Alligator mississippiensis: one gene and its partners. The protein of the gene in region 3 binds, or shares a complex with, the protein of the main gene of each other region. Links are inferred from orthologs where the notes say so. Each region holds a gene or a part of one and is shown on either strand. Other genes may lie near its edges. The genes, in order: checkpoint protein HUS1, RAD1 and RAD9A.

Region 1 (10,381 bases), on a different chromosome or scaffold from region 3:
CATCAAAGAAGTTTCCCTTATAAAAGCAAGAAGAGAGAAGGAAAGAGTTTCAAACAGAGCAAGTTACAGTTTGCAGAATTACAGTACTGATCTTTAAATTCTGAAACAAATGTGGAAAGGCCAAAGTTCCCCTCTGCTCCATATGCATGTTCTATAAGAAATAGACTTTGTGCACACATAGGATCCCCAAGCATGGACCCATTTGCAAAATTAGGGCTTGCCCTGCTTTTGCCATTCGTAGACAGAAAGTCACTCTTATCCATTCACCAGCACTCAAAAACCTGAGACAAAATAGATGTTAAGATCACACTAGAAAAAGAATTCAGACATATTAAAAAATGTCATCTATGAATAAAAAAATCAATCCCACAATGACCTGCATGCTACTGAAGTGTTTATAGGTCAGGTTCCTACTTCTACAGATAGCAAGAAACACTACCTATAATGTTGAATGCACAGCTTCATCAAAGATTGAAATATATTAAGTGTTTATATATGATGGGATGTCACCCTCGTTTTCTGGCACTTACCTGACTTAACTCACACCACATGCTGACCCCTCCATTTGCTACTTTGTCAGTGAGGATGAAATAAAGTTTGCCTGGTGTAAGGCGCAGAGTGCAGGTCTTGGCTAGTTTGGCAATTGTGTTGATTACACCTATGGATAAAGGTTCATTAAGGAACTTCTAGCATAGGAGAAAAAAATACGTTCATAAAGTTGTGGCTTGCAGTTCCATAGGAAAGAGCATGACAGAAATAAACCAATGACAAGCTGAAACTTCTGCTTTGTACTATCTGTTTACTTATTTATTCAACTGATGTGACAACCTTCCCAGCAAAGGCTCAGGGCAGCTTACAAAAAGAGAACAGAATAGCTTATGTAACAGGAGAAGGAACAAAAGAACAAGACAAGCACCAACATAAACTAGAAGTGCCCCAAACAAGACCCCAATCTAGGTTTGTTTGCTACGTGTCTGTCCAGTATAGAAAGGTCTTACACTGCTTCCAAAAGATGTCCAGCCTTGGGCTGTCCTTTCAGTTACAGAAATGCCAAGACACCTGTCTGTATTAAGATTGCCTTTTGTTAAATTTGACCTTTCTATTTTAACCTGCAGATTTGAACACAAACACCTTGTTAATCATTAATATCTATATTTTCTTTTGTTACTGGTTTAAAGAACTAACTGGCTGCTTGTACAAGACACAGGGATTTAATTCAGTTTAGCTCTCCCTAAATTGAAACAGTAGGTTTTTAAAAACACTGCTTCAATTTAGGCAGAATTAAACCGAACTAAACCCCTATGCTATGTACACAAGGGTGGGAGCCATCTCCTTACCTGCCTTTTTGGCAGCAGGCATGGGGGCCAGCTGCCAGTGGGCTAAGTGGTCCCTGAGCTGTTCAGGGGGCCCCCAGGCAGCACCTGCCCACTGGCACCCAACCTGGGAAGTCCCGGGGGGCACCACAGCCATGAGGGAAGCACCGGGCCCCTGCACAGCTCAGGCAGACAGGCTCCGGGGAGGGGGAAGATCAGGCTTGCTGCTTTTTTCCTTTAGTGAAGCCTGCCTGCACAGGCTGCCACCAGGTCCCACAACCCCTGAGCTGCGCGGGGCCCACCAAGCCCTGAGTACGTCAGCTTCCAGCACCCCATGCACTGTTGCACTGTTAGGTAGCAAACTAAAACACCTCGGAGGTGTTTTATCTTGTTATGTACCAAAGTCATTTAAAGCGGAATACGCTGCCGAACATGCAAACAGTAACACCATTAAAGTGGTGCAAAAGAGTATTTAAGCCACTTTAAATGTCAATTTTGTGGCGTGTACAAAGGCCCACTGTGCCCATTAAAGGACATTTTGAGAGTGAAAATGTAGGTCTTCAGACTCTGACACACCCCTAGCTCATGATACAAATGTTCACTGCACAGGGATGCCCTAGTCTAGTTCATCTGGAAGTCATTCCACTCAATCCAACCCCATGCCCCCACCCAATGTGGAGCTGTACTTACTGCCCCTCTTCCACCCCACCTGAGGGAAAGGTGAATATCCAAATGCCACCTGGGGCTGGGGGGAAAGGAAAGAGTGGAGGAGATTGGAAAATTATCTCTGCCCTCAGGATTTCAAACCCTCGAGTGAAAAAGAGCAAGTCATGTGAAAGGAAGGGTTTTGGAATTTTTATTTATTTATTTTACATTTCCTAAAGGAGAGGAAAAATAAACCAAACAGGCTCCCCTAATAGCCTAACTACCTCATCCCCAGCCAGTGACATGTATGGTTAGAGAGCAGAACAAAAAAAAAAAAAAGGCCTTTGCTGGGAGGCATTTTTTAATTTGCAAGAAAAACACTGGCATTGGGAAGGGAGTTCAGGGTCAGGACAGCACTTCTCAGCTATTATAGATGCGAGGGTTGTTCGTTAGATTTCAGGGTGCCCTTGGGAATTTTTTTTTTAAATATATATTTTGGATAATTTTACGTGTTCCTGGTCAAATTGGCCAGATCAGTTCCAAATCCTTTGAATTGTTCCAAAACCATACGTGGCCATACTACCGGCAAGTATCCTCCACCCCAGACTTTTCAGCCCAGGGCTTCAGATGCTTCCAAATCCTTTGACGGGCATCCTACATGCAGGCCCAAGCCCGGAGGCTTGGGGTTTGGATGCCCCTGAATTTTACTTGCCCTCAGCCATACCGCTGCAGGAGCAAGCTAGGGAGGAGTCTCCCGTTTCATGGATTTCATAGATATTTAGGGTTTGAAGGAACCTTAGTAGATCACCGAGCCTGACCCCCCTGCCCTGGAGTCAGGTGACCCCAGCCAGGTGCTTGTCCAGTCTCCTCTTAAAGACCTCCAAGGTGGGGGAGAGTATCACCTCCCTCGGGCGCCCCTTCCAGATTCTGGTCACCCTAACGGTGAAGAAGCTCTCCTGATGTCTAATATAAACCTGCTCTCTCAGTTTCTGGCCATTGCTCCTAGTTACTCCAAGGGGTGCCCTGGTAAACAGAGCATCTCCTATTCCTTGCTGTGTCCCCCGAACGAATTTGTAGACAGCCATTAGATCCCCTCTCAGCTTTCTCTTGCGGAGGCTGAAGAGATCCAGGTCCCTCAATCTCTCCTCGTAGGACCTCACCAGCAGGCCCTTAACCATAGGAGTTTCCATAAAGTCAGGATGTAGCCGATATCCTCGCCAACTACGAGGCTCTGGTAGGGAGTCCCGCCCGCGACAAACGGCCATTTGCGATGCATTTTAGCTCCGGTATCAGACCAGCGCAGTGACTGCGCTCGACCTTAGCCCAACAAGGCTGATTTTCACCTTTTGGACAGCAGAGCAACTCCCGAGCTCAGGAAGGCCACAGCGGGGCAGGGCGGTGGTGCCGCTATCGACTCCACTTGGAAACCGCTGGGGCTTGCCTCGTGAGCAGGGCATAGAGGCCAGTCCGGTTGTCCTCTGTGGATACGAAACCCCACGCCTTTCCGTCCTCTTATTTTTCTCTTCAAGAGAAAGATAGGGGGCGTAAAGGCGTGGGGTTTCGTATCCACAGAGGACAACCGGACTGGCCTCTGTGACGGACACCCTGCTTGGGAACCGTGCCTGCGCGCCGACTACCCGCAAAGGCTCTCGCGACACCCCGGGGTGTTGCGGCCGTCAGTCCCGGCCTGCGCGAGCAGGGGCGGGCACGGACGCTCAAGGCAGTCCGGGGGGGCCACGGCGCCCTGGAGCAGGGGCCGGCCCGGGAGGGGCGCCCCCAGCAAGCCTGACCCCGGGGCACTCACGGGTGAAGTGGTTGAGGCAGGCGACGTCCAGGATCTTGGCGCGGAACCGCATGGTGGCGGCACGCCGCGGGCGACCCGCAGTCCCGCGCGGGGCAGGGGGCGGCGCTCCCACACGCCACGCCCCGCCCGAGCCGCGCTCATTGCAGGGCGTCGGGCCCTGCTTCCGCCCCGCAGCCGGGCTCCTCGCCGGCTATGGCGGCGGCGCGGGTGCTGGTGTCGAAATGAAAGCGAGAGGACGGGCTGTTCCGTTTCATTCGGCCCAGCTCTGGGGCGGAGGTCGAGTTGGACCCGCTTTCGCCTGCCGGGCCTTGTTCCTCCTCTGGTGCCGCCCTGCGTTTCGGGAGCTGTTCTACCCTTGGCCCAACCCCCCAAAAAACGGCCCTCAGAAAGCCTCGCCTCTCGCCCCCTGTGTGGCACCGCGCTGCTGCAGCATAGCTCTGGCACTGTATTCATAATCGAAGGGGAGACGCCAGGTATGTGGGTCCATGAAGGCAGCTTTCCTTAGGCGCTCTCCGGGATAACTGTTCTTCTGGCGTGGTTGAGCACATGCCGAGGGGTTGGCGAGCGCTGACCAGTGGTTGGCGACCACCCACAGATGCCACTAGCAGTGGCGACGGCAGCCAGCAGCAATCGGAAACCACCCACAGACCCTGCCAGTGGTGGCAAGTAGTAACCACCCGCAGGCACTGCCAACAGCGTCAATGGCGCTTCTGTTGGGGTGCACCGCCGATCTCAGGGTGTGCATGCACCCCCTACACATCACCAATGTTAGGGCTTAATGCCCATTTTATGGAAATGAGAGGCTCCTCCCTAGCTTGCTCCTGCAACCATATGGCTGAGGGCAGGTGACACTTGGGGGCATCTGAACCCCAAGCCTGCACATAGGATGCTTGCCAAAAGACGTTGGAAATATCTGAAGCCCCTGGTGGGGGTGGAGGATGTTTGCGGGTTGTAGGGCCACTTATGGTTCTGGACTGACTCACGGATTTGGACTTGATTTGGCTGATTTGGCTTGGGACACAAAAAATGCCTTTAAGAAAAGAAAAGAATGGACACTACAGGGCTGGAAATGCAACCCGAAAGAGAGGTGGTGGCAAATAGGGCCTGGGGAAAAATCAGAAGACCAAGAGAAGAGGATTATGGATGGCTTCAAATAGAAAAGCGAACTCCATATAGAGCAACACAATACAGTAGCCAGGGAATGTATGGGGGAAGGGAGGCTTCTGCTTCCTACCCCTTCTGTGCTGTGCTGCCACCCCTCACCCCAGTCTGCTGCATGCCTCATAGAGGCAGCTTGTGCCACTTGTACCACATGTTGGCCAGCCCTAGATGTTATCCAAGACCCACCTGTCACTCAGGGTAAATGGGAAGCTCCTTGCAGCACACAGGTGGTAAATGCCCATTCGTCATCACAGAGGATCCAGACTCTGCCTATAAGTTGCTCTGCCCTTTTGGTTCCTGCAGTGCATGTTCTGTTGAATTGTTTGCAGCTCTACTATGTACAGTCCAGTGTCACTGTTTCTTTTCTTACTATCGTGACCGACAAGGACTTTTTGCAGTATCTTTTATTGGACCAGCTGGCCAGTTAGAGAGCTGTTGGACAAGCAAGGAATCAAGTGTCCTTCTCCCAGGTTAATTCTAACCCTTAATAAACTTTGGTGTTTATCTGTATTCGTTAACATTCTTTTTTCATTGGGACTGTCCTTGGTTTACCATCACATATGTTGGTTTTCTATTGATTTCCAGATGTTAACTGTAAAAAAAAAAAAAAAAAAATTCAAGCAATTAAACAGGAAGCACATTGAAGCAAAGTGCTAGTGGAATCAGCATGTATTTCATTTTGCTCTTGTGCCCCCTGTACTGTTCATAATCCCATAGCTATTACTAGTGAAACCAGCTACTTGAAAAAATACTCACTTCTGAGTACTGTGAAGCTGTAGGGGCAAGTCAGTGAATCACAACAGGTTCAGTTCGGTGGTAGGGTCAGTTTCCTAAACTTCTGTTGAAGTCAATATGAGCAGAAGGTGTAAGGCATCATGTAGGCTGTACTCTGGGGGGCATTTCAGATGCTGTTTACTAACAGGGTCAGGTTCTTAGCCATTAAATTACTCTTTCGAAGGCACAGGTGCACAAAGGCAACACATTCACATTAGCAAGGCCTTTCTAACCAATGCAGCACAACTGGGGAGGACTAGTGATCCTTATGCAAGCCTCCTGGAAGGTATCAGTGACCTTTTACAAGAGAAAAGTATACTACAGATATCAGCAAACTAGATTTGTGCAGGTACCTACTGAATCTGATCGTGACACTTATTCTCTGGTGTCACAGCTAAACTGCAGCCCTGCTGCTGGTAATTAAGGTTGTTCAAAAATCTTCCTAAGGGAACAGGCAGTGGTGCATCTCAGGGGTGACAGTGCCCTGAGTCTGATCAGTGAATGCCAGCTACCTGGGCTCTACATACATAACCAATTAATAGAAGGCAGGGTAGAGATGCACCTTATAGACCTAAAGTGCAGCATCTCATCTACATGAGATGCTTTACTGTGCAGTAGACTAATCTACTGCACAGTTAAGCATCACCATCAACATGTGCATGGCATTTACTGTGCAGTAAATTAATCTACTGTGTGGTTAGCTAGTACCTGTAGATACAAGTACTGTACTAGATTAACTGTGCAGTAGCTACTATGCAGTAGTACATGTGTAGATGCTGAATGGGTGCAAATTTGCTCCTGGTCAGCCACACCAGCAAGGGGCCAGCCTCCTGCCTGGAGCAGAGCCATGTGGCTGGGAGTTCCTCCAGCCACGTGGCAGGGATGCCTCCATGGCTGGCCTCCAGGCCCCATGCCTTCTGCTGCCTGGCACTGTGCCTCTCTGCCCCGGGCACTGTGCCTCTCTGCCACAAGCATGGACCAGCCACAACAGCACAACAGACACCAGCTCTGCCCCCCAGGGCCCATGCCTCCAGCTGCCTGCCTCCTGGGCACCATGCCCCTCTGCTGCAGGCACGTGGCAAACCCCAAAAGCACCTGGAATCTGTACCTGAGCCCCCAAGATCCCTGGCAACACCTGGGATGGCAGCATCCCTTACACTGGAGACATCAGCTCAGGGTCCCAGTTGGGCAGAGCAAGGGAACAGCAAACTCATAGCAGTCTGGGGCAAAGCAGATGTGCAGCAGCAGTTTGGCGAGGACACCCAGGCAAATGCCCACATCTGTAAAGCTATGGTAGCCTGCATGTGGGAGCACTGCCGCATCAAGATCAAAACCCTGCAGGCCCAGTGGGTCTGCATCACAGACCACTGCCACAGGACTTTGCCCTTCACGCGGTAGCTGGATCACATCCTGGCCATGAGGGACCCTGGCACAGGCTGCCATGTGTACTCTGAGCGGGCCAGGTCAAGCCCCGGGCCCTTTTCGTTGCTCTGCACGCAGGCTGTGGCTGGCAACCCAGGCAGGCCGGGTCGGAGAGGGCGGGCGCCGAGCTAGAATTAGGCACAGACACGTAACGGTTGATTTTAAGATTGTTTACTTACACCGAGATGGTCGCGGTGCAGGCTGAGAACTTGCTTGAGTTGCGGTTACAACAGAAAACACGAACACACGCGGAGTTTGCTAGGCTCCACGCAGACAGAACTCCGGATGTCCAGGACAAGCGCGCATAAAACTCGTTGATACGTCTTATAGAAGGTTCCGTTCGAAGACGGGAAGAGGTGGGCGGTGGATCAGGCTGTCAAACTCCTCTGAGCAACACACAGGGTTTCTATTACCCTGCCGCGCACACCCAGAGTCCCCACGAGATGGATGTGGAGTCCTCTTTGGCTTGGGCAGAAACTGCTCAAGCCTCTTATACGGTTAGCAGGCCAATCGCTAGCCGCCACATGGGAATAATTTAGCACTAGCCAATTGTGGGGCACGAATTTGCATGCAAAGAGCGGGAACTCCTTTGCACCGTGCGTTTCTGTGTTGCAAAGAAAATGCACCCTGCAAAGACCGCTGCAAAGTGGCGGGAACATTCCTTTGCACGCGGGTTCTCTGTGCAGCAGAACTTCTCCGTGCCATGAAGCTGTAAACCCACGAGGATAATTCTTAGTGCCGAAGCACACACAAAAAATCAGACCTTTGGGTCATGACATCCCCCCTTGCTGAAGGCACAATAGAATTATACTTCAAACCTATCATCCGGGTTATTAACAGCTCTGTCAATGGTTCGCGAAACTAAACGAGCAAAAACAAAATCAGTCAACAATAAAAGTTCGTCCTCAAGGGATCGAATTAAATAATAGCCGGCACACACACATATACATAAAATCATATTCATAACAAAAAACTGGACGATCATGACTTCAGTGGGCGTCATGGTGGAATCGCGCGTCAGGCCTTCGTTCCTTTCGGTGTTGTTGTCCCTCTCGGGGCCTCTCTCCACCACGCACTCCGAATCCCTGATCTGTAAAAGAACTCTCTTAAAATGGTTATTCCACTACTATTTATAAAATCACACAGGACCGCACGATAATGCAGTCGATTAAACTTATCATCACTATTAAATACAGATATGTAAACACGATTCTATACTGGACAGCTCTCTCTCTTTTCCGACTCAGCAACTCGACGAAATCGTCGAGGAGTCCTCATCGCTTTCTTCTAGATAGTGAAAACCTAACTCGTAGGCTAGCTGCCATTGTCCCACGTCTCCCAAGATCCGAAGCTGTCTCTTATTAAGTCCAGAACGCTGCAGGAGGAATCCAAACACGTATCTCTCCTCTTGCGTTCTCTGGCGTAATACTGGACGCTCGGATTCGCGGTGTTTCGTGTTCTGAGCCTCAGTCGGGCGTTGACACTCCCGATCACTGGATAGTCTTGGCTCCATTAGGACGCGCAGTCTTGACAACTGATGAAGGAGACTACTCACAGGATGATCGACCAGTGGGTTCAGCACAATCCGCAAAACCACGATGTTTCTTTGCCCGTAAACCTTAAGACAACTATCTATGCTGTCGAGAGTCACTGGAACGGTTCCAGGGTCTCGCAGGTGACGGTGAGGCCATGGTCGCATTTGTTGGAGCGGTGTTAGTCCCAACGTGCATTCTCTTGGGTTCCAGGCGCAATATGAAACTCCGATAATAGCCAGTACAAGCTGTTCTGCACCGGTGTGCTCTGGTCGTCCATCGTGCCATACGTGGGCCTTTTGTTCGATCACTCCTGCCACAAGCGCTGGAATTGGAATAGGCCAGTGGACGCTAAACGCCACCATGTCGATGTCGGTGACATGTCCCCTTCTCCATGAAGCTTGTCTCACCAAGAAGCTTGCTTCTTCCTGGTCCAGGAGGTCGGACCCAAGTTCCACGACTAGACGTCCTAACCACACAGCCAGAGTTTCTTCGGATCGGATCCTGGATTCTCTACACAAATTCTGCAGTTCGGCTCTGGAACGAGCGTAATAGGTGGTAGCATGAACTGCACTCTGCGGACCGATGACTGGGCTGCTTGATGCTGCAGGCTGATCAATTTCTTCGCGAGTTGTCGCTGTTGCTGTTTCTGTCGGAGCTGTAGTCATTGTTACAGTGGGGGTTGTTGTTGTTTCAGGCAGGAGGGGAGGATGCACTCCTCCGCTTGACTCCCCCTCCCTTCGGCAGAGGGGCGTGGTCGGCAGAATCCACGCTGCGTCGCTGGGCAGAGTCACCGGCCGAACCCTCGCGGGCTCTCCCGAAGCTCCATCCCTCTCTTCCGGTTTCTCCACGCGGTCTTCCCTCTGCTCCGTGCCATCTTGTGGGGCTTCTTAAAATCCCCTCTCTCAGCTGCTTCTCCGACCGCTCGAACGGCCATACGCAGCTGGGTCTTTAAGCTTAAAGTTTCACTCATCAGATCAGTCATAGTCTGAAAAGTTGCATTTAATTCTCCCCCCTTGTCTCACCGTAGGACCACTCTCTCATTTACGGTGCGGTCCTCCGTCTCCGGGTCTTCGTGGAGCTCGGACGGACGATTGCGACCCCTTAGTCCTGGTATTACCATGCAAGGGGAAAGCCATCTGATCGGCATCGGCTCTCCCATCTCCAGGGCACACCGCGAGCAACGGACACACTCCCGGGTGGGGGTCGGGCTTACTGCAGTCACCGGGTCGACTTCGGCAAGGGTTACACTATCGAGGGGCCTACACAGGACCCGCTCATCACTCATGATACACCCGAACGCCGTGGGGTGAAGATACACTTCTTTCCCTTCTAGGGCTCCGACTTCGGAAGCTCTTTCTTCTCCCCTTAGCGAAAGGTGTCCACGGACACATTTCCTGCCCGTTCCGCCCGCCTGGTGGTACATGATGTGCGCCTCCAGTTCTGCGACGCTTGCTACGCTGCGTCTCCCACTTCTCCAAGGGCAGTTCTCAACTAATTCTAACTCTAGCGAGCCCTCTCCTGATCCCATCCTCGTCGCCATGTGCGGGCCGGGTCAGGCCCCGGGCCCTTTTCGTCGCTCTGCACGCGGGCTGTGGCCAGCAGCCCGGGCAGGCCGGGTCGGAGAGGGCGGGCGCCGAGCTAGAATTAGGCACAGACACGTAACGGTTGATTTTAAGATTGTTTACTTACACCGAGATGGTCGCGGTGCAGGCTGAGAACTTGCTTGA
Region 2 (9,291 bases), on a different chromosome or scaffold from region 3:
GATGCTGCGGGTTTTTCTTCCCAAGGTGGAGAACCTTGCATTTATCGGCGTTGAACACCATCAGATTCTCGTCCGCCCACTTGCTGAGCCTGTCCAGGTCAGCCTGGATCACCCGCCTGTCTTCTGGTGTGGATGCTTTGCCCCAAAGTTTGGTGTCATCGGCGAACTTGGCCAGTCCGCTTCTGACTCCAGTGTCCACATCATTAATGAAGATGTTGGACAGTATGGGTCCAAGGACAGAGCCTTGGGGGACCCCACTGGTCACAGGACACCATGATGAGTGACTTCCATCAATTACTACCCTCTGGGTCCGACCCCGGAGCCAATTTTGCAGCCAGTTGATCGTGGAGGACCCAAGGCGACAATTGGCCAGTTTCTCTAAGAGGCGATCATGGGAAACCAGATCAAAGGCTTTTTTGAAGTCAAGATATATGACATCAATCTCATCTCCCTTGTCCAGGTGATAGGTCACCTGGTCGTAGAAGGAAATGAGATTGGTCAAGCAAGACCTACCCGCAACAAACCCGTGCTGGCTATCCCTTAAGATGTTGGCGTCGGCCAGTCCATTAAGGATGGCCTCTTTAATAAACTTTTCTAAGATCTTCCCCGGGATAGAAGTCAGGCTGATGGGCCTATAGTTAGCCGGATCCACTTTCCTCCCTTTCTTGAAGATAGGCACCACGTTGGCCTTCTTCCAGTCTTCAGGCACTACACCAGAGCGCCAGGAGTTTTCAAAGATCCGCGCTAGAGGCTGGGCTATGATGCTCGCCAGCTCCTTGAGTACCCTGGGGTGAAGATTGTCAGGGCCGGCTGACTTGAAGGTATCCAGCTTCTCAAGATGTTCCTTCACAAAGTCAGCATCAATGGAGGGCAGGGGATCACCCTCACCCGGACTTCCTGGCCCTGTAGCGGGCATGGGCGTCCCATGGGGCTGATGAAAGACCGACGCAAAGTACCTATTTAATAGGTTGGCTTTTTCCTGGGCGTCAGTTGTCAGTTGCCCCATCTGGTTCAGCAGGGGTCCAACGTTGCCCCTGCTTTTCCTCTGGCTCCCCACATATCTGAAAAAGGACTTTTTATTGTCCTTGATGCTCAAAGCTAGTTGGAGTTCAGTTGCAGCCTTGGCTTTCCTGGTCTGATCCCTACAGGACCGGACCAGTGCAGAATAATCCTCCTTGGAGGTGACTCCCATCCTCCATCCTTTGTAGGCCTTTCTTTTTAGCCTCAAGAGGTCTGCTAGGTCCCTGGAGAGCCAGGGGGACTGCTGTGCCCTCTTGCTGCCTTTCCTCCGAGATGGAATAGACTTAGTTTGTGCATTGAGGATCGCTCCCTTGAGGAGCAACCACACTCTTCTTGAACTCCCCTCTCTCCGTGGTCATGGTCCCTTAGGGCCTCACTGACGAGCCTCCTGAGCTTGTCAAAGTCGGCTTTCCTGAAGTCAAGGACTTGCGTGTTGCTGACTGATTTGCCAGCTTTTCGGCTGATGGTGAAGGTGATCAGCTCGTGGTCGCTGTCACCCAGCTTCCCATCGATCACTAGGTCGCCAACTAGGTCATCCCCAGTAGCCAGTACCAGGTCGAGCAGCGCTTTGCCTCTCGTTGGCCCATAGACTTCTTGAGTCAGGCAGAGGTCATCCATGCACGAGAGGAAGCTTTGCGACCGCTCAGATTTTGCTGAGCGATCCTCCCACGAGATGTCTGGGTAACTGAAGTCACCCATGATAACCATGGTCCTGGAGCATACGGCCTCAGCCAGTTCCCGGGCAAACTCCTGGTCAAGCTCAGGACTTTGGGTGGGAGGTCTGTAGTAGACTCCCACCTTTGTGTCCCCTGTGCCGTGTTCCCCACGGATTTTAACCCAGAGGGTCTCCAGCCGTCCACCCTGGTCGCCAATATCGGCTTGCAGGGACGTGTAGCTTTCCTTAACATAGAGAGCTACACCCCCGCCCCTGAATGGTCTGAACTACAGACCATTCAGCCTCACCTCAGTCTCCAGAAAAGTTATGGCGCAGGTCCTCAATCGATTTCTAAGGACTTGGAGGAGAAGAAAGTGATCAGGAACAGTCAGCATGGATTCACCAAGAGCAAGTCACGTCTGACCAACATGATTACCTTCTGTGATGAGATAACTGGCTCTGTGGATGTGGGGAGTGCAGTTGACATGATATACCTTGACTTTAGTAAGGTTTTTGATACCATCTCCCACAGCAGTCTTGCAAGCAAGATGAGGAAGTATGGGTTGGATAAATGGACTGTAAGATGGACAGAAAGCTGGCTAGATTGCTGGGCTCAGTGAGTAGTAATCAATGGCTCAATGTCTAGTTGGCAGCCAGTATCAAATGGGAGTGCCCCAGGGGTCAGTCCTGGGTCCAGTTTTGTTCAAAATCCGCATTAACGATCTGGAAGATGGGATGGAGTGCAGCAAGTTCATGGATCACACCAAGCTGGGGGGAGCAGCAGATATGCTGGACGGTAGGGCTAGGATTCAGAGTGACCTTGGACCAATTGGACAAATTGGAGGATTGGGCCAAAAGAAATCTCATGAGGTTCAACAAGGATAAGTGCAAAGTCCTGCAGTTAGGACGGAACAATCCCATGTACCAGTACAGGCTGGGGCTGAGCTGGCTGGCAGCAGCTCTGCTGAAAAGGATCTGGGGGTTACAGCGGACAATAAGATGGATATGAGCCAGCAGTGTGCCTTTGTTGCTGAAAAGGCTAACAGCATACTGGGCTGCATTAGTAGAAGCATTGCCAGCAGATCAAGGGAAGTGTTTGTTCCCCTTTGTTCAGCAGCGGTGTGGCCACATCTGGAGTACTGTATCCAGTTTTGGGCCCCCCCCCCATAGAAAGGACATGGACAAATTAGAGTGAGTCCAGTGGAGGGCTACATAAATGGTGAGGGGGTTGAGGGACATGACTTATGAAGAGAGGCTGAGGGAATTGGTCTCATTTAGTCTGGAGAAGAGGAGACTGAGAGGGGATTTGATAGTATCCTTTAACTACCTGAAGGGTGGTTACAAAGAAGATGGAGCTGGACTGTTCTCAGTGGTGATAGATGACAGAACAAGGAGCAGTGGTCTCAAATTGCAGCAAGGGAAGTTTAGGTTGGATATTAGGAAAAACTCTCATTAGGAAGGTGGTGAAGCACTGGAACAGGTTACCTAGACAGGTGATGGAAGGTTTTTAAGGCCCAGCTTGACAAAGTCCTGGCTGGGCTGGTCCTGCTTTGAGCAGGGGGCTGGACTAGATGACCTCCTGTGGGTCCCTTCCCTTCCCTTCCCTTCCCTTCCCTTCCCAGCCTAACTGTCTATGATTCCATGTCAAGAGGACTGAACTGAGCGCTCTCAAGTTAACCACAGGAATCATCTATTGATCCATGACCTGAAGTACGATTCCCTAAAAGGAATGATGCCTGAATGCGGAGTACGTTGAACTCCTGAAATAAATTAAATGCCAGCTATTAATTACACTTGTAAGAAACTATCATAAAATATATTTTAAGGGAGGGGGGGAGGGGAAGATGAGCATGAGTTACTTCAGTAAAGACAAAGAAGAGGTATTTACTGCAATGGCATTAGGGAAAAGGAAGGAAACAAGGCTGAGACTCTTAGGATGGCCTGCCTCCAACTTGATGACCCAGCTCTCGCTGGCGAGTGGGTGACTTAGCGACCCGTTTACAGTAAACGCGAACACTTATTTGCCTATTTTGGGGGTACGGTCGTTTTTCAGCAAATACGCTCATGCTGAGCTTCCCAGGGGCTCATCTCCTCAAAGACGCGACCGCGCGGAACGGGGCCGGGCAGTGACCTGGATGAAGGCAGAGGCCTGCAGGCACTTGGCGCTCTCCACCGTCACCTTGAGGCCGTTGGCGGTGGCCACGCACGTGGCGACATCCCGGAAGTGCACGGCCCGCAGCATGGTGGACAGGTGCCGCGCCTTGTCCAGGCTGGCAACCAGCACGTAGCGCGCCCCGCTCCCATCCGCCCCGGCTCCGGCCCCGGCCCCGGCCCCGGCCCCGGCCGGCAGCAACAGCGGCATCACAACCGCGGGCTGGAGAGAGCACTTTACGGCCGTCGTAAAAAAGAAAAAAGGGGCGGCAAGACGTAGGGGCTATACTTAACGACCGCCGTAAAAGGCACGGCGATTTACGGCCGTTGTAAAAGCCGGCCGCCAGACGGGGTTGTGCTTTACGGCTGCTATAAAACGACGCCCGGTGAACGTGGGGATGGTGCTTTTTGGCCTATCCCCTGCTGTTTTACGGTCGTCGTAAAAGAAGGCCGCCGGCTGGAGTAGGGGTGCTTTATGGCCATCGTAATACGACGTGTCCAGTGTGGATACGAACGTCACAAAGCGCCCACCACACGGGAGGCAAGCCATAGAGAGGGAAGTGGTTCAGCGCAGAGCGCCGACTTCCGGCGTGGAGAGGAAGCGGGGTGCAGGCACGATGGCGGCGGCCAAGAGGAAGCGTGGGGCGGGCGCGGGCCGGGCCGGCGCGAGGAAGAGAGCGCGGGGCACGGCCGAGGGGGCGCGGCCGGGCCCGGCCAGGGAGGAGCACCGCGTCCCGGCCCCGGTCTCCCAGGTGAGGGTCTCTTCTCCCTGTCCCCGGGGGCGGTGGTGCCGCGCGGAGTGAAGCAGGATGCGGCCCCGCTGCCCCTGCCCGGCCCGCGCCGCCTCCTGTGCGCTGTGCCCGGCCTTGCTGGGGCTCCCGGCCCCCCTGCCGAAACCGGGCCACCTCCGCCTCGCCTCGCCTGGCCTGGCCTGGCACGGCACGCAGGGTCGCGTCCCTTGGGGAGTCCTGCGGGCCGCATGTGGCCCGTGGCCTGGGAGTTGAGCCCCCCTGGTGTCCGTGGGCATCGGTCCATTTCTGATTGCCAGGTGCCCAAGTGTGCGGCCGGACGGCAGCCTGGGTACGGTGTCAGGAGCGCAGCTACTCTTGGACCAGTGTATAAAAAGAATCCAAAAAAACCCCGTTTTTCTTGTAAACCCAGCACTGCGTAAGAGAGCTTGTGACTTGACCGTAAGGTCTCTTCTGGGCAGCTGTTGAAAGCTCATCTTGCTTCTGGATCAACAGTGTTGATTTTGGCTCCAAAACGTGTGCGTGTTGTGTGTAGTGCTCAGGGCCTTTGTTTTTGTGATTTCTTATTGGCGTATCCAAAGGGACGCTCATCCGGGAAATCTTTTGTGAACCTCTTAAAACATCAGTATCTAGGTGTAGCATGGCAGATGGCTGTAGATAGTCCAGTAGGATGGGTCAGGAAATGTATGCAGAAGCTTATAATAAATCTGCAGCCTGTCACAAAAAAATAGATTTTTAAGTGGAAGCTTTTATAGAAGTGCATTACTCTTTTAATAGGTTGAAAATGACTGATTTAGTACAATTTTTATTTAATGTTGGAAACATCATATTTTCACCTGAGCTTTATATTTCTTCTAGGGAAAATGGAAAAACAAAGAGCGCGTACTAATTTTTTCTTCCCGAGGAATTAACTTCAGGACGAGACATCTGATGCAAGACCTGCGAACATTGATGCCCCACTCGAAAGCAGGTAGTGTTGATGTTATCCATGTCTGACTCTACTTATATTATCTAGATTAGTTTTATACCTTTTAGCTCCAACTGCCTGCCTTTTGACCACATAGTTCTCACAGCTGGCTGCATGGTGGTGTCCTTATTTACTCTTAAAAAAACCCCCAAAAAGCAAAAGCTTGACCATACAAACAGTATGGTCTTTGGGAAAGTCACGTACACCTCCATTTGGTAAGCAGTCACACCTATTTGCTTTGTCTCTGGTTATCTCCTTGGCTTTAGTCAAGCTACTTGCTTGCATGCAGTTACAAACGTTCAGAGTATTTTGCACAATTGGGATTTTTCACTGGTATATGTGAAAGAACTGCTGCAAATTGTGATCCACTTCTAGCACCGCAGGCTGCTGCTGCCTTCTTGTCTCACTGCAGTCTTGCAGCAGAGTCCGTAGAGCCCTTCCTGATGTGCTCCAACACAGGGCTGGGTCCCAATCACTGGCAGAACAGAGGGTTTCAGAATGAAAGTCAAGCATAGGTGTGAAGTAACAGTGAAAACCAGTACTGATAAATACATAATTGCTGAAGATAGATAGTACATGAACTTGTAATTATATTGGGTGAAATATGACTTCAGCTTCTTTGAAGTGTGTGTGCCTCTTGGCAATATGAAAAAGCATATAAGCCTACTCAACAACACTTTTGTTGTTGTTTTCCAGACACTAAGATGGACCGTAAAGACAAGCTGTTCGTAATTAATGAGGTAATCTTGTAATTCATCTAAAGCTTGAATTTCTGATGAAACCAAGATACGGTACATGCACCAAGTGGGAAGATAGGTGAACTCAAAGAGAACTGTATTATACTGCATGAAGATACAGATCACCCTATTTGGTTTAGTTTGGGTTTCTTCAGAGGCAGTATAACTATTTAGGGAAAAAAGTTATTCTCCTGTATAGAGGTATTCTTGTTTAATTCTGACTCTGAAAAGCAAGACTAGTAAGTCAAATAATTCTGATTGTCCTTCATGTTTAGAGCTCTCATTGAAACCAACAGAAGTGCTATCCAAGAAGGCTTATAAGATGGAGCTCTGTGTTATGAATTCCAAGTATGCCATGACAACAAATACTTTGAATAACAAGTGTAACAAAAGGGTTGAAGGGAGGACAGGGGTGAAAAAGGTGGCTGTCACAGCTGCTGTTGCCAAAAAATAAGATAGACATAGTCATGTAAGTAATTTTCTAAAATACTTAAGTTTGTTTACAGATGGCATTGTCTGTACAAGGCTGAAGCAGGTGGTGAAGAAAAGTGCATAGAACATAGTTAAGGAGTTGGGTTAACCCTGTAGTACAAATGGATGCGCTAACAGAAATACTGCAGAGTAATCGGAGCAGTCTGGGGTCTCTTTACAGATAAGATAAACTGGTGGCATCAGAGGGTAAAGTGACAAGAGACTGCAAAAACATGTCTGTGGCTTTGCTCTTGGTAAAGAGACTTCTGGGAGCAGGAGCCCGTGAACCACTGCTCCACACTGATCCTGATGCATGTAAGGTGGTCATACACTGAACTCTTCTGTTTCAGGGTGCTGGAATAGCTCTTGGTTAGGAAGAGTAGGCTAGTAATCCTGTAGTTGCTTTATGTGGCTGCCTCTGCTGATTTTGTTGCTTAATTATGTTAAGTACCTTCCTGGGTGAAAATTGCCATTCATGATCTTTAAAATGAGGTTATTTTGAAATTGTGAGCTGATTATTGATTTAAAAAAAAAAAGACTTCATTTTAAAAACAGGAACCTGTATAGGCTAGAAGCATTTTGTTCTGTCACTCCATGACCCAACCATGAAAAATGCCTTACAAAAGGTTTTCCTGCAGTTTAAAGTTGGGAAAAGTAAGTAACAAATAGGTTGACTAACTGACTTAAATCCATGACAACGGGCCACTGGCAAAGCCAAGACTAGAACCCATATGTCATGGCCCCTGATGCAATGCCCCATGCATACACAATCCATGAGACTGCTTGGAAATACATTGTATTTAATGCTTTTCTGGCAAGGCAAACTCCAAAAGCCTTTTGAAGAGGCTGCTAATTTAAATGAACTGTTCTGCAGCTCTAGGTATTAATAAGTACTGTAGGATCTTCAGATTTGTACCTATTTATTCCGGAAAATTATTTTAGGGACTAATTTGGAAGGTTTGTGAAAAGGTCTTCAGAGCGTTACTCATGGTTGATTTGTCACATGTATTCATACAGGTTTGTGAAATAAAAAACTGCAACAAGTGTATCTTTTTTGAAGCCAAAAAGAAACAGGATCTTTATATGTGGTAAGAGAATACATTATACTTTATTAAATATCTTGGTATCGTTTCCATAGCTCACATTTTAACTAGAGTCCTGATTAAAGTAATAGTTAAATTCAAAGATGTAGAAGAAACTGACTCTCCACAAATGACCCATTTTAAGGGTATCTGCAGTCAAAATTAGTTGAACTTGCTGTAAGTGCGGAAGTACACAGTAGCAAAATGACTTCTTTAACCTTTGTTTGGTACTTTTTAAAATGAAAATAAATTTCACAATTACATTCCCCTACATACTGGTTTCAAAAGTAGATATAATTTTTAATTTATTTGAAGCTGCCAAAGAATTTCCAGTTTACCTTACTGGATGTCCGTAGAATTTTAAGCTCCGCTTCCCATAGCTGTCAGGACCTTTAATATTATATGGGAAGAGAGCCTATAGTTTTAGGTTTATTTATCATTTTAAAAAGCAAATGTACTTCAAATGCTTTCTGTTAAGTCTCATTGTTTTAAGGTCTACTGACCACAGTGCTCGCAATTTGAAGAAAAATATCTAAAATGAGCTGACTGGCAGTTTCAAACCACTTAAAACCATTTAGATAAATTGTTGGATGAGAAGTATTATGGAATTATGAAGTGTGTTTCTTGCTACAGTGCTATTAGCTGACTTTTCTTTCTGCAGGCTTTCAAATACACCCCAAGGACCATCAGCCAAATTCTTGGTGCAGAATAGTAAGTCAAGGTTTCAGGCTATTGCTTTTATATAGGTTCCTTCCTTCTTCCCCCCCCCCCCCCCAATCTTTTTTTTACTGAACACTTAACCTGTTCCAAATCATTGTAGTTCACACACTTGCAGAGCTGAAGATGACTGGAAACTGCTTGAGGGGGTCGCGGCCTCTTTTGTCTTTTGATCAGGCAAGTATAATGTTTCAGATTTGCTTGACTCTTTTTTTTGTTTGTTTTCTTGTTCTCTATACCACTGCTGCTTTTTTTGTTTGTTTGTGTGTGTGTGTAAAACTGTATTTTCCTCTTACAGGCATTTGATCAGGAACCACACTATGCTTTGTTAAAAGAGTTGTTTATTCAGGTTGGTATTAGGTATTTCTTGCTTCTTACAAACCATCTTTCTATTAACATTTCAGTTTTTTTAAATACTGAAGATTACACTAATATATTTTTGCGTAGGCCACAATGCCACAAAGACTTATTTTCATGATGTCACTGGGGCTTTTTGTGGTTTAACTACCATATATTTAAGCCTATACGGTTGAGAACATGCAACGTTAGATTTAAGATGAACGCAAAGATAAATTTAATAATTTGGCATCTTGATAACTTTTTAGCTGTTTTTTTGTCTTTTTTTTTTACAGATCTTTAGTACACCACAGTATCATCCCAAAAGCCAACCTTTTATAGATCATGTATTCACATTTTCCATCACAGACGACAGGATCTGGTTCCGGAATTATCAGGTTAATTA
Region 3 (9,907 bases):
ACGGGGGCACAGAAGGGAATTGGTGAGTATTTATTCACCAAGGCGCCCCTGGGGGTTACAAGAAACAATGGCCACAAGCTAGTAGAAAGCAGATTTAGACTGGACATAAGGAAGAACTTCTTCACAGTTCGAGTGGCCAAGGTCTGGAACGGGCTCCCAAGGGAGGTGGTGCTCTCCCCTACCCTGGGGGTCTTCAAGAGGAGGTTAGACGAGTATCTAGCTGGGGTCATCTAGACCCAGCACTCTTTCCTGCTTATGCAGGGGGTCGGACTCGATGATCTATTGAGGTCCCTTCCGACCCTAACATCTATGAATCTATGAATCTATGAAACGGGAGCAAACTTAGTGCCCTATCTCAACTCCTGTGCGTGGCAATAGAACAAGAGCTAATACAGTTAGGGCTCTGACTTCTTCAATACAGTGTCCTGGAAACCCTATGCCAAACAGGGTACTGACACATGTGTACACACACACAAACATGGTGTCACAAGCAAGCCTTGGTGACATGATGTTAAAGTTCCAGGACTCATTTGATGCTGGCACTTGTACCACTGCTGAATAGCTCTCCAGATGCAGCCTGGCTGTATGTACTGTTTGTGTTGGTGCAGGTCCCTCCTTGCATGTGGATTGGAATTAGTGTATTTCCATCTGGTTGTCTGGGTGTTTATGTTGGCATACATGGATACGGAAAGGAGAGGGAGTTTGCCTATGCGTGCGAGTTTGTGTGCAACTCCGTCTATCAGTCTGCCTCTATGTGGGTATATAAGGGTGTGTATGTAAGAGTGTCTGACTGTGTATCTGGCGAAGAATCTGCCTCTTTATGTGTTTGCATTTCTGTGTGTGTCTGCTAGAATCTGCTGGATGTACAATGACCAACAGTCTGCTGCAGTGTGTGCGTGTGACAGAGAGAGAGTGCCTGCACATATATGTAGGGAGCTTGCCAGTGTGGGTAGGTGCAGGTACCATTGGGAAAGGGTTTTAATTTATGAAAAAATGTGCCACTTAGCAGGGAATAAATCCTCCCCAAGCCCAGCCCCGTAAGGACAGCCCTCTGCATTTCCCTTTGGAGGCTTTTTTTTTTTTTGGTTTGGGGCTAATGCAGCCCAGATGTGCGCAGGGACCGTGCCCTCACAGAGCCTGCTAAATAGGAGCTGGGTACATCAGTTCCTGTCAGGATCCAAGTGTTTCTGATGAGTGACAAAGCCTAGGGGCTTTGAAGAGCCGAGCGCCACAGCTTGTTTTGGGGCTCCTTCCCTTCCCCCAAACACAGAGAAGCACCAGGTTCCCCAGCCCCATCCACCTGGAGGAGGAAGTGGATGGGGATGAGGTGGGAGTCTGCTGAACACTTGCCCTTCTCCATCTCTCCTTCTTTGAGATATTGCTCTCTTTCCACTTCTTATCTCCTCTTTCCCTCCTCAGTCTGTCCAGAGATTTTCATAGTTCTCCAGTCTTGGCCAAAAAACAGCTCTTGCCAGTTACAAAGCAGACAGACAGGATGTTTCTCAAGGTACTGTACACAGAGTATTTGAGTTCTATCTCTTGGAGATCTGAAGAACCAAATCTTGCCTTGTCTTGCACCCCATATCTCTGTGTGCCTGTCTGTCACTAGATAGATAGATGGAGAGATAAACACAAAGATAGCTGGATAAATCCAGTAAGTCTTTCTATCCTCACTCTTTCCGGTCCTTCTCTACCACTATGCCCTTCCTGACTCACTCCAGCACCTCCGGAGTCTGGAACAAAAAATGAATACAAACTTTTTGTTTTTCAAATAACCGACTCCATCCAAGAAGAGAATCTTGTCTCATCCTGTGCACCAAACCAAACAGCGGTGTTGTCAAAAGAGTCTGTCCAGAAAGACAAAATTTTGACCTTTTAAGGGTTGTTTTTAAAATTAATTTTATTTTATATGTAACCTCTTTTCCAGAAAGGCTGGAGTGTTGTCTGCAAAATCCCCATTGCTTATAAAAATTACACCCTTACTCCAGGGCTGGTCCTTTTGCTGCAAGCATTTTTTTCTCCCTTCCATAAGTAACAAAATACAAGAGGCAGTTTTCTAACTAAATTGCAAATTTTAAAACTCCAAGGATTACCAAAAAAAAAAAAAATAAAAAAAATCCCTACATCACCAAGAATAGTTCTGGAGAATTTCTAAGGGTGACCACCTCCCCTCCAAAAGGAAGCATATGGTTGGGTTCCCAAAACCTAACTTCAAGCTGTTTGGTTTTTTTATGTTTGAATGTTTTTAAACCTTGCTATTAACAATTAAATACTTCGCTTTTTTTTTTTTTAAATGGTGCAAGTGCTTAAATCAAGCCATGGGAAAAAAATATTTCTGCCCTGTCTAGGTCCCGGTGACTTTCATTTTCCTCTTCTCTCTGTCAGTTCTGGATTTTAATTCTCCGTGCTAAGCGGCATTTTCCTCCCCAGTAATCACAAACATGCATGGAAAAGAGGGAATGAGAGAAAGGAAAAAAGGGGGAAAGTCTTAAATCAATCACAAAGCCAGACAGACATTTTAATCAAATCAAATTAAAATCAGCAGCGGTTCGGAAAAGAAAAACACGACACGCACAGCAAGACCCCCGCCCCTACACCCCCCCCATCCTCTGCCAAAATAGTAGAGACACACTTTGGTCTTACCTGAAATCTCCCCAGCAACATATAGCATAGTAGACTCAGAGTGTGGGGTTGGGGTGGGGGAAGGAAGGCTGCAGAATTTGATCAATAGAAGACAAACTTTTTGGTTAGTTTTTTTACTCTAAACCCAAAGCCCAAGCGAATGGTGAAATCTCCCTTTCTCCCTGATCTGTTCTGCCCTGTCTCTTTCTCACTCTCTCTTTTTTTTCCTCTTTCCCTATTTGTTTTGGTTTGTGTTTGCTTGGGTGTTAGGTGGAAAAAGCTGTCTCGGATATTTTTTTTTGGTGCGTGTGTGCAAAGTTTTAAACATGCTCTCTCTCTCTCTCTCTCCCTCTTGCTCTCTCCCCCTTTCCACCTCCCTTGATTTGCTCTTTTGATTGGTGTCCAGGAATGCAAGAATAAAAAAAAAAAAGATTGCATACACCCTCTCTCCAAGCTGCTTGCTTTTTTTTTTTTAAATTCAAGTGTTAAGCAGAACCAGGTTGCTTTCAAGAATGTATTTGATGCAATTGTACACAAGGGCAGGCTCCATTCATTTTTCTTCCCCCCCCAATGGCTCTTCAGCTTTGGGCAAAGGTAGGGAGCAGCTGAGCTAAAGGGCAATTTGCTATTCTAAAAGTAAAAGGAGGAAAAAGAAAGAGAGAAGTTTTTAAAATGTGGATTAAAGGGGAGGAGAGAATACCACCCCTTTCACATACACCCCAGAACTCTGGCTATTGCAAAGCTTTTGTTAGTGGCATTTGGAGAAGGCTTGCAGAAAATTAAAGTGTTTCCCGAAGAGTTATGAGTGAAGGGGGTGCTGGGAGGGGAGATGGGACGCAGCAGGCAAAGACGAGGGGGAGGGCTGGTTTGCCTTTAGAGAAGGGAGGTTGGGAAAGGTGCAGAGGTCTCCTACCTGCTCTGAAATCCATTTGGTAAAGCCAAAGCTACACTCAGGACTTGCAGCCCTTGAAGGTAGGTTTGTGATTTAGTGCTTCCTTTCTCCGAGGGGGCTGCACAGAGTCTGCGGTCCTTTATTTTTGGCCAGGATTAATAATCCCATTTGCCAATCCCACTCATTTAGGGTTTGGTTTGGGTTTGGCTTTTTTTTTTTTTTTTTTTTTTTTTTTTTTTTTTTTTTTGGTGAGGATATTCTTTAACCCTCTTTTTTTTTTCCTGACGTGTAAAGCTTTAACCACAAACTGAAACACCAGTCCCTGAGGGGGGTACGGAGGGGGGAGAGGAGGAGAGGTAGAGGCAGATTGGTTATTCTCTTTTCACAAAAGAAAGTTTTAGTAAGAGGGGGTGAGGTAAGCAAGCGGTGCCACCCTGTGTTAGAAACACTGGTGTGTCATGGGGGGAGCAAGGGGGGTGAGGAGGAAGGAAGAAGGATACAGACAGAGATGGAAAGAAAGAAAGGAGAGATTGACAGATGGGAAGATGGAAATGTACAGACGGGTGAAAAGAAAGATAGGAAAAACAAAACAGAAGAATATGTAGATAGAGTAGAAAAGAAAGGAAGAAAGATATACTGATGGTTACAAAAAGGATAGATAGATATAGAAAGAAAGAACAGAAGCTGGATCGGTCTCTCCCCTTCTTGCTGTCATGTACAGCCCTCCCCATTCCAGATTTTTAAAAAGTTTTTCCCTAAGGGGGAAAAAACATCCAAGCCCAAAGCCAGCCCCCTGCCCTTGCCCCAGCCCAAATGCCAGACGCGGGACTTGGAAAAGCAGTGCTAGTTTATTTTTTATTCCCTCTGCTGCTGCCCTTTCATGGGAAACAAAACACAATCAATTGTTGAGCTTTTGTTTTTTATTTTTGTGTTGTTGTTGCCTCTAAACAAGGGAGAAAGGAAGCAGCATGCAGACGTTTAGTCATCGGCAGGTGACTAACCCTGCTAAGCATTTCGCCAGGCGACAGACACCAGAATGGGATGGAGGGGGTGAGTGCAAACATTTTGGTGAAAAGAAAGTTGAGCCCTTTCTCGGGGATTGGTTTGTTATTTCCCATTCTTCCTTCTTTACTAAAGTTCACAAGTTTTCTTCTTTCATTCATTCTTTCTTACTTTTGCCTTGTTCCTGCTGTGGGGGTTAGATTTGTGATTCATTAATCAGCAAAAGGCATCACAGCCCCATTTCAACACAAGATCTTTCAATTGCATATTGTGACTCAGCATTAGGCTCCAACTTCTTTAAAAGTTGAACAAGGAGGCAGAGATTTCCCATCTGCTTGACCCTTTTTTTTTTAAACTCACTCCTCATTGCCAATTTAAAATATTTAGTAGTAAAAATGTTGTTAGTTCTTAATGCAAAAATTTTAAAAAATCTTCCCTAAAACAGGTGAATAACTTCTAAAAAAGACATAGCACCCCTCTCTCCAGGAAATTATTACATGTAATACATAAAAATTTATAGGTAATATGTATATACATACATATTATGTATGTATGTATGTATATATCATACATAGGCACAATGTAGATTTAAGTGCTTTTGAAAAAGTCCAAAGGGTTCAGAAGACACGTACATAGGCATCATTCTATTTTTGCATTGTTTTTCATCTATACTTCTATTAACTGTGTGCACAAGAGCTGTATAGAGCTATGGGCCCAATCCTGCAGTTCTTACTCCAGCAAAAATCCCACTCCACAGCTTGCAAAATACATACGAAACTCACTTCACTACTGAGTAGTTCTGATGTCCAAATTCTGGGACGGTTCCCCTCTCTGTTCAGCTGCTCTAGTAAGGGGCTTTTAAGAATTTTCAAGATCTGTGTAAAAACTCACTTGTGTTGGGACTTAGCATTCTGACTTACTAGAGATGCATGAGGCTTTTTGCTTCAAGGATCTACAAACATGAATATTTATTTTTGTATATTACAACAGCTAAAAAATGAGTTTGTTTCCAATTAACCTCATCTGATTAGGACAAACTTTGCTCTGGGTGTCCCTCTAGTTAGATGAGAGCTTTGGAAATAAACTTCAGATTTAAAATAAACTATCAAGGGTTATTAAACCTGGTATGTTGGGGATATGGCAAAAAGCAAAAAATAAAACAAAACCCAAAATGCTGTTTACTCACATTACTAAATATTTAAATTTTTTTCAAACAAGAAAAGCAGGAAGGGTTTTTTGTTCTGTAGAAGGAAATACAATAAGTGAACCTAAAATTATTTTCATTTGTGAACCATGTTTTTTATCTTCTGTTGTTAAAACGTGTCTAGTATTTACACTTTATAGAAAATGGAAAACTATTACAGTCCTTTGAACTTTGGGAAGGGAAATGTATTAATTTTTGCAAGCATTCTCTTGATGCTTTGTTTAAAACAAAGGCACTTACAAACCAACTTGTCTTAGGTTAACAGTTCTTGGTACTTCCAAAAGGTAAAACTCATAATTTTTCAATAATAGTTTCAATAAACTCCAGCCTCCCCATATTTTTGTTTGAAATGTCTAAAACTATTTTTTCTTTGGTAGAATTCACCCTAAGAGGTTGAATAGTTCAACCTTTCCACTATTTCTTGAGCAGCAACTCTGCTGTAATGTGCAACTTATTTAAATATCATTCATCTATATATATGTACAGACACACATACATTAGATTTAAAGGAGTCTACATTGCACCATGTACAAAGACTGTAATATGTTTAAGTTTCTTTAGGATTGGCGCAAATACTGATATCTTTACAGTACGCTATATAATGTCTTTGTACGCAATTATGTGTTTCTTCTTAGATAAACACAAGTTTAAGCATGTAATACATTCACATTTATACACATATTTCTCCGTCCTGTATTTTTTGTAGATGCTTTTTATCTGACTGTAGGGAAATGTGGGTTGCAGACTGATTAAAATTGGGATTTTTTTTCCCCTTTGCAACACTAACAGGCAAAACGTGAGCCCAGAATGCTTGCCTCAAACTGTGTGTGTTTCATACCCAATCCAAGAAGATGCCTTTTTTTAAACTGGTTGGAGTTGGTGGGTAAGAATGGTGCAATGCAACATGCCACCAGGAAAGTTTTACAGACCCAATGCCACACTGAGCCCAGACAAGGAAAATTTTCCTGATTTGGAAGCCTGGGGACTTACCCTACTACAGACACTACGACACCAGCTTTCAGCATAGATGCGTGCCAGACACAGGTACCGGGGAGGTGGGGAAGAAAGAGAGAAAGAGGAACACATGAATGAAAAAGAAAAAAGCTTAGGTGCCTCTTTGTAACATTTCCCTAAAGTTGTCCTTTTCTGCAAGAACTGAGTTGCATGCCTACATGCCTAGTAATATCTGACTATCTGTGAGGGAAGTAATCCCCACTGCCCTAGAATAAACTCTTTGGATGAGGGAGGGAGAGGTAGGATTCAAAATCCATGTTTCTGATTTCTCTACTTAAAGCTTGTGGGCTTTTCATCACTTTTTTGGTTCAGATGAAGTGGGGAAAGGGGCAGACAGAGAGAGGGCTACAGAGCAAATCCTCAAAGTCAGGGGCAGCTTTTATGCAAAGCACAAAGTGATTAAAAAGGTGCTCCCCACTGCCAGGCCCCAGGACACAGAATGAAGGGCTCATTGGCTTGACTTCATAATAGACCATGTCATGCCAATGTGGTTAGTGGAACAGAGTCTGTCTCCACCAAGACAGCCCTATCCTAACCCCATCAGCACAGTCCCCTCCCATGAGATACGGGATCAGACAACAGCAGGGCTTGGGATGTAATGACATTGTTCAGCATCTCACTTTGCTCTCACTGGTACAAGATGCTACCACTCCTCGGGGGGAAAAGAGGCTTAGTCTGAAGACTGCATGAGCAGTAGCTGGGATGCCCCGTAGAGGTAGCTTTCCCAACACTCTCCCCCCAGCCAGAGACCACTGTTTTATACTCTTACCTTCACTGCACCAGAGACCCTGTCTCCCCACACACTCCCCAGCCAATAGAATAAGTATGGTGGATGCTTCACCTGCCCTTCACAGGCCCTTCTGCATTTCAGTGTGGGACCAGTCTTCCTTGTTGGTACATTTCCACCTAGTCTGCTTGGAATTCCTGTCGCCTTCTTAGTTGTGCTGTAGAATACGTGGCTTCCCCTTTCAGTGGGCTGGCAAAACAGCCTCCAAACAGCTAAGAGCTGTTGAAAAAGGTGCTCAAGTATCCTGAAGATTCCCTGTGTCCAAAGGTCACCATTAATCTTTCTGAGCTGAAGCAGCTGGGCCAAAGGTCAAGGGGCTGCCTGCAGTCTGGCTGCCTCGTGGCTATGAAGTGCCAGCCCAAGCCTTTCTCACCAGCCCTCCCAGGGTCAGTGGGGCTGACTGCTGTGTTTTGGGCTGGGGAAGCTGGGACCTTTGGTTCAGGAGGATGTGGTGTGTGATGGAGCAGCACCTGAGCAATCTACAGGGTTGCTAGGAGCCTCTGGTATGGCTGTTTCACAGAGATATAAGTAGAGAAGACAGTCTGTCCTCACTCAGGCAGAAGACTTTTCACTTCTTCCCAAACAGCTGGGGGTGCTGTCTGGATCCTCTCCTTTCAGGGCTGGTAACAAAAAAGCTGAGCCTGGACACATTCCAGCTTGGATGCCGACATGGCTGTTGGCAGTGGTGCTCTACTTGGCAGGCTCTGGGATGAGTGACAGAATTTAGATGGGGGCCAGCTGGTCTGATTGGTCATGGTAGGTCTCTCAGCAGCCTTGGAGCTGGAGGCTAGTGGGCAGGAACTGCCCTATAGTCAGAAACTGATCAGCACTGATGCATGGGTCACTTCTCCAAGACTTTAGCTATATCCTGAGCTTTTGGGTGCATCCCAGAGCCTCTTGTGTAAATTATATCAAAATGTAGGACACAGCCTCCCTGGTGTATGGGTGATACATGACTGCTCCATGAACTTGGTCTGCTCAGGATCTGTTTGAGAGGGGCAGCTGCCAGGCACTGCTGATGGCAGGGGTTCCAGTTTAGGAAGCTGTTCCCCCCTCTGTGAGCCTGCGTGAAGAAAGCCAGGCTTAGACCCCTGGCATCACTGCTCACTGGATGTTCTTTACTGAGACCTTTGGAGACTATAAAGTTCAGGCCTGGGCATTCCCTCGCAGATGGCAGATGGGGCTCCTCTCTTACCCATGAAGCAGTTGGTTTGCCCTGGCTGCCCTGGGCTCCTTACAATTCCACCTCTGAAGAGAGTACAAAGGAAGTTTCTGCTTTAGCATAAACCATTTCAATCCCTCTGCAATGGTGCTATTACAACGCACATGGAGTGAAACCTATGACTGCAGCTGCTGCTTCAATCCTATCTGTTGGAGTATCAGGTTAGGGCTGAGGCCAGTCCCCTGGTCCCACCCATCAGGGTGCCAGTGGAAGAGGACATTACTTACACAAGGCATTCACATTCTGCCTGTTCAGCAACAGGTTCATTTCTTGGGGACTACTCTCTTACATGGGATCCAGCACTCAGCCTGCAAAAGGATTCACTTAGCATGTGGTGAAGAACAATAGTAGCAAAGGAATAAAGATACCATCCTGCGCTGACAAATGCCTCCTGTTGACATGGACAGCTGAACCTGCAAGACAGGTACTGTTCCTGGGAGCTTCCTGAACCAACCAATGTCCTCATGCCTGCAACAGTCTGAGGCTCCAGATCAGCACCATGAAGTGCACTTCATGTGACTGTATGCTCTTCTAGCACCAACTTCCTCTTATGCCTTTTTGTAGTACTCAGGCAAGACTCCTCCTGTGCATGATTCCTTATTCTCTGCTTTGCAGGCTGCCTTGATTTTTATTCACTCAGGATCCCAGACCTAGATTATTTCACAGTGAAGCATTTGTACCAGAGTTGTTCTGTATATCACAAAGGGCTTGGTCTGAATGACAGCTCACGAGTTGCAGGCTAGCAATGGAGACAGGTCACTCACAGCCTACATGCCATGCAAATGAGAGAGAGAAAGGGAAACCAGGCATGCCATGGCCTTCTTGGGCCCTGTCTGTGGTTTCCAGGCCAGTAACGGATAAAATGCAGACAGAATGTCCAGGGGCCTTTGCTAAGCGTCTCTGCTCAGCCACGGAGATGAGTCTTTCAGAATGAGGGAAGAGACAGCCCCGTGACAGCGGGCAGTCCTCAAGGGAAGTATGTCTGAGAAGCCTGCCCTGTAGTCTAGCCTGCCTCCTCTGCCTGGCGGCTGCATTGTTTAGGACACTGGTTGTCTCCATGGCACCATCCTGGGACATCCTCTGCGTGGGAGCAGATACTCACAAAGCAAAGGGCTCCACCTGGCCAGCTTGGCTCTGTGGGTAACACACGCCCTGGCAGCCTGC

Evidence for each region.
Region 1: the proteins of RAD9A (region 3) and checkpoint protein HUS1 are in contact, whole or in part, in a crystal structure (PDB 3GGR), measured with the Homo sapiens proteins. The link is inferred for Alligator mississippiensis from reciprocal best matches to the Homo sapiens genes RAD9A and HUS1. Residues at the interface, in NP_004575.1 of Homo sapiens: Leu157, Pro158, Pro161, Val176, Ala186, Lys191, Ala192, Met193, Val194, Thr195, Glu196, Met197, Cys198, Leu199, Gly200, Asp203; in NP_004498.1 of Homo sapiens: Thr84, Asn87, Arg90, Ala91, Lys93, Thr94, Phe110, Ser121, Ser123, Ser126, Arg127, Ile128, Val129, Thr130, His131, Asp132, Ile133, Pro134, Ile135.
Region 2: the proteins of RAD9A (region 3) and RAD1 are in contact, whole or in part, in a crystal structure (PDB 3GGR), measured with the Homo sapiens proteins. The link is inferred for Alligator mississippiensis from reciprocal best matches to the Homo sapiens genes RAD9A and RAD1. Residues at the interface, in NP_004575.1 of Homo sapiens: Leu76, Ser82, Val83, Ser86, Leu90, Lys92, Leu112, Phe116, Gly117, Val118, Arg119, Lys120, Thr121, His122, Asn123, Leu124; in NP_002844.1 of Homo sapiens: Glu165, Ala166, Ser168, Glu169, Asn195, Ala196, Gly197, Ser198, Ser199, His200, Leu201, Asp202, Tyr203, Pro204, Asp206, Ser207, Glu211.

Annotation. Positions count from the first base shown.
Region 1 is NC_081827.1:159,818,839-159,829,219, reverse strand, and holds the start of checkpoint protein HUS1, read right to left. Parts: upstream 3,815-10,381; coding exon 3,763-3,814; intron 659-3,762; coding exon 531-658; intron 17-530; coding exon 1-16. Other genes in the region: uncharacterized protein LOC132250309, read right to left, coding at 8,363-9,319. UniProt on the Homo sapiens protein: Component of the 9-1-1 cell-cycle checkpoint response complex that plays a major role in DNA repair. The 9-1-1 complex is recruited to DNA lesion upon damage by the RAD17-replication factor C (RFC) clamp loader complex.
Region 2 is NC_081826.1:279,960,187-279,969,477, reverse strand, and holds the start of RAD1 (cell cycle checkpoint protein RAD1), read right to left. Parts: upstream 4,077-9,291; 5' UTR 4,038-4,076; coding exon 3,807-4,037; intron 1-3,806. Other genes in the region: BRIX1 (ribosome biogenesis protein BRX1 homolog), read left to right, coding at 4,444-4,578, 5,434-5,545, 6,239-6,282, 7,768-7,838, 8,494-8,543, 8,653-8,726, 8,848-8,898, 9,182-9,283. UniProt on the Homo sapiens protein: Component of the 9-1-1 cell-cycle checkpoint response complex that plays a major role in DNA repair. The 9-1-1 complex is recruited to DNA lesion upon damage by the RAD17-replication factor C (RFC) clamp loader complex.
Region 3 is NC_081825.1:176,210,805-176,220,711, forward strand, and holds the start of RAD9A (cell cycle checkpoint control protein RAD9A), read left to right. Parts: upstream 1-4,431; 5' UTR 4,432-4,482; coding exon 4,483-4,564; intron 4,565-9,907. UniProt on the Homo sapiens protein: Component of the 9-1-1 cell-cycle checkpoint response complex that plays a major role in DNA repair. The 9-1-1 complex is recruited to DNA lesion upon damage by the RAD17-replication factor C (RFC) clamp loader complex.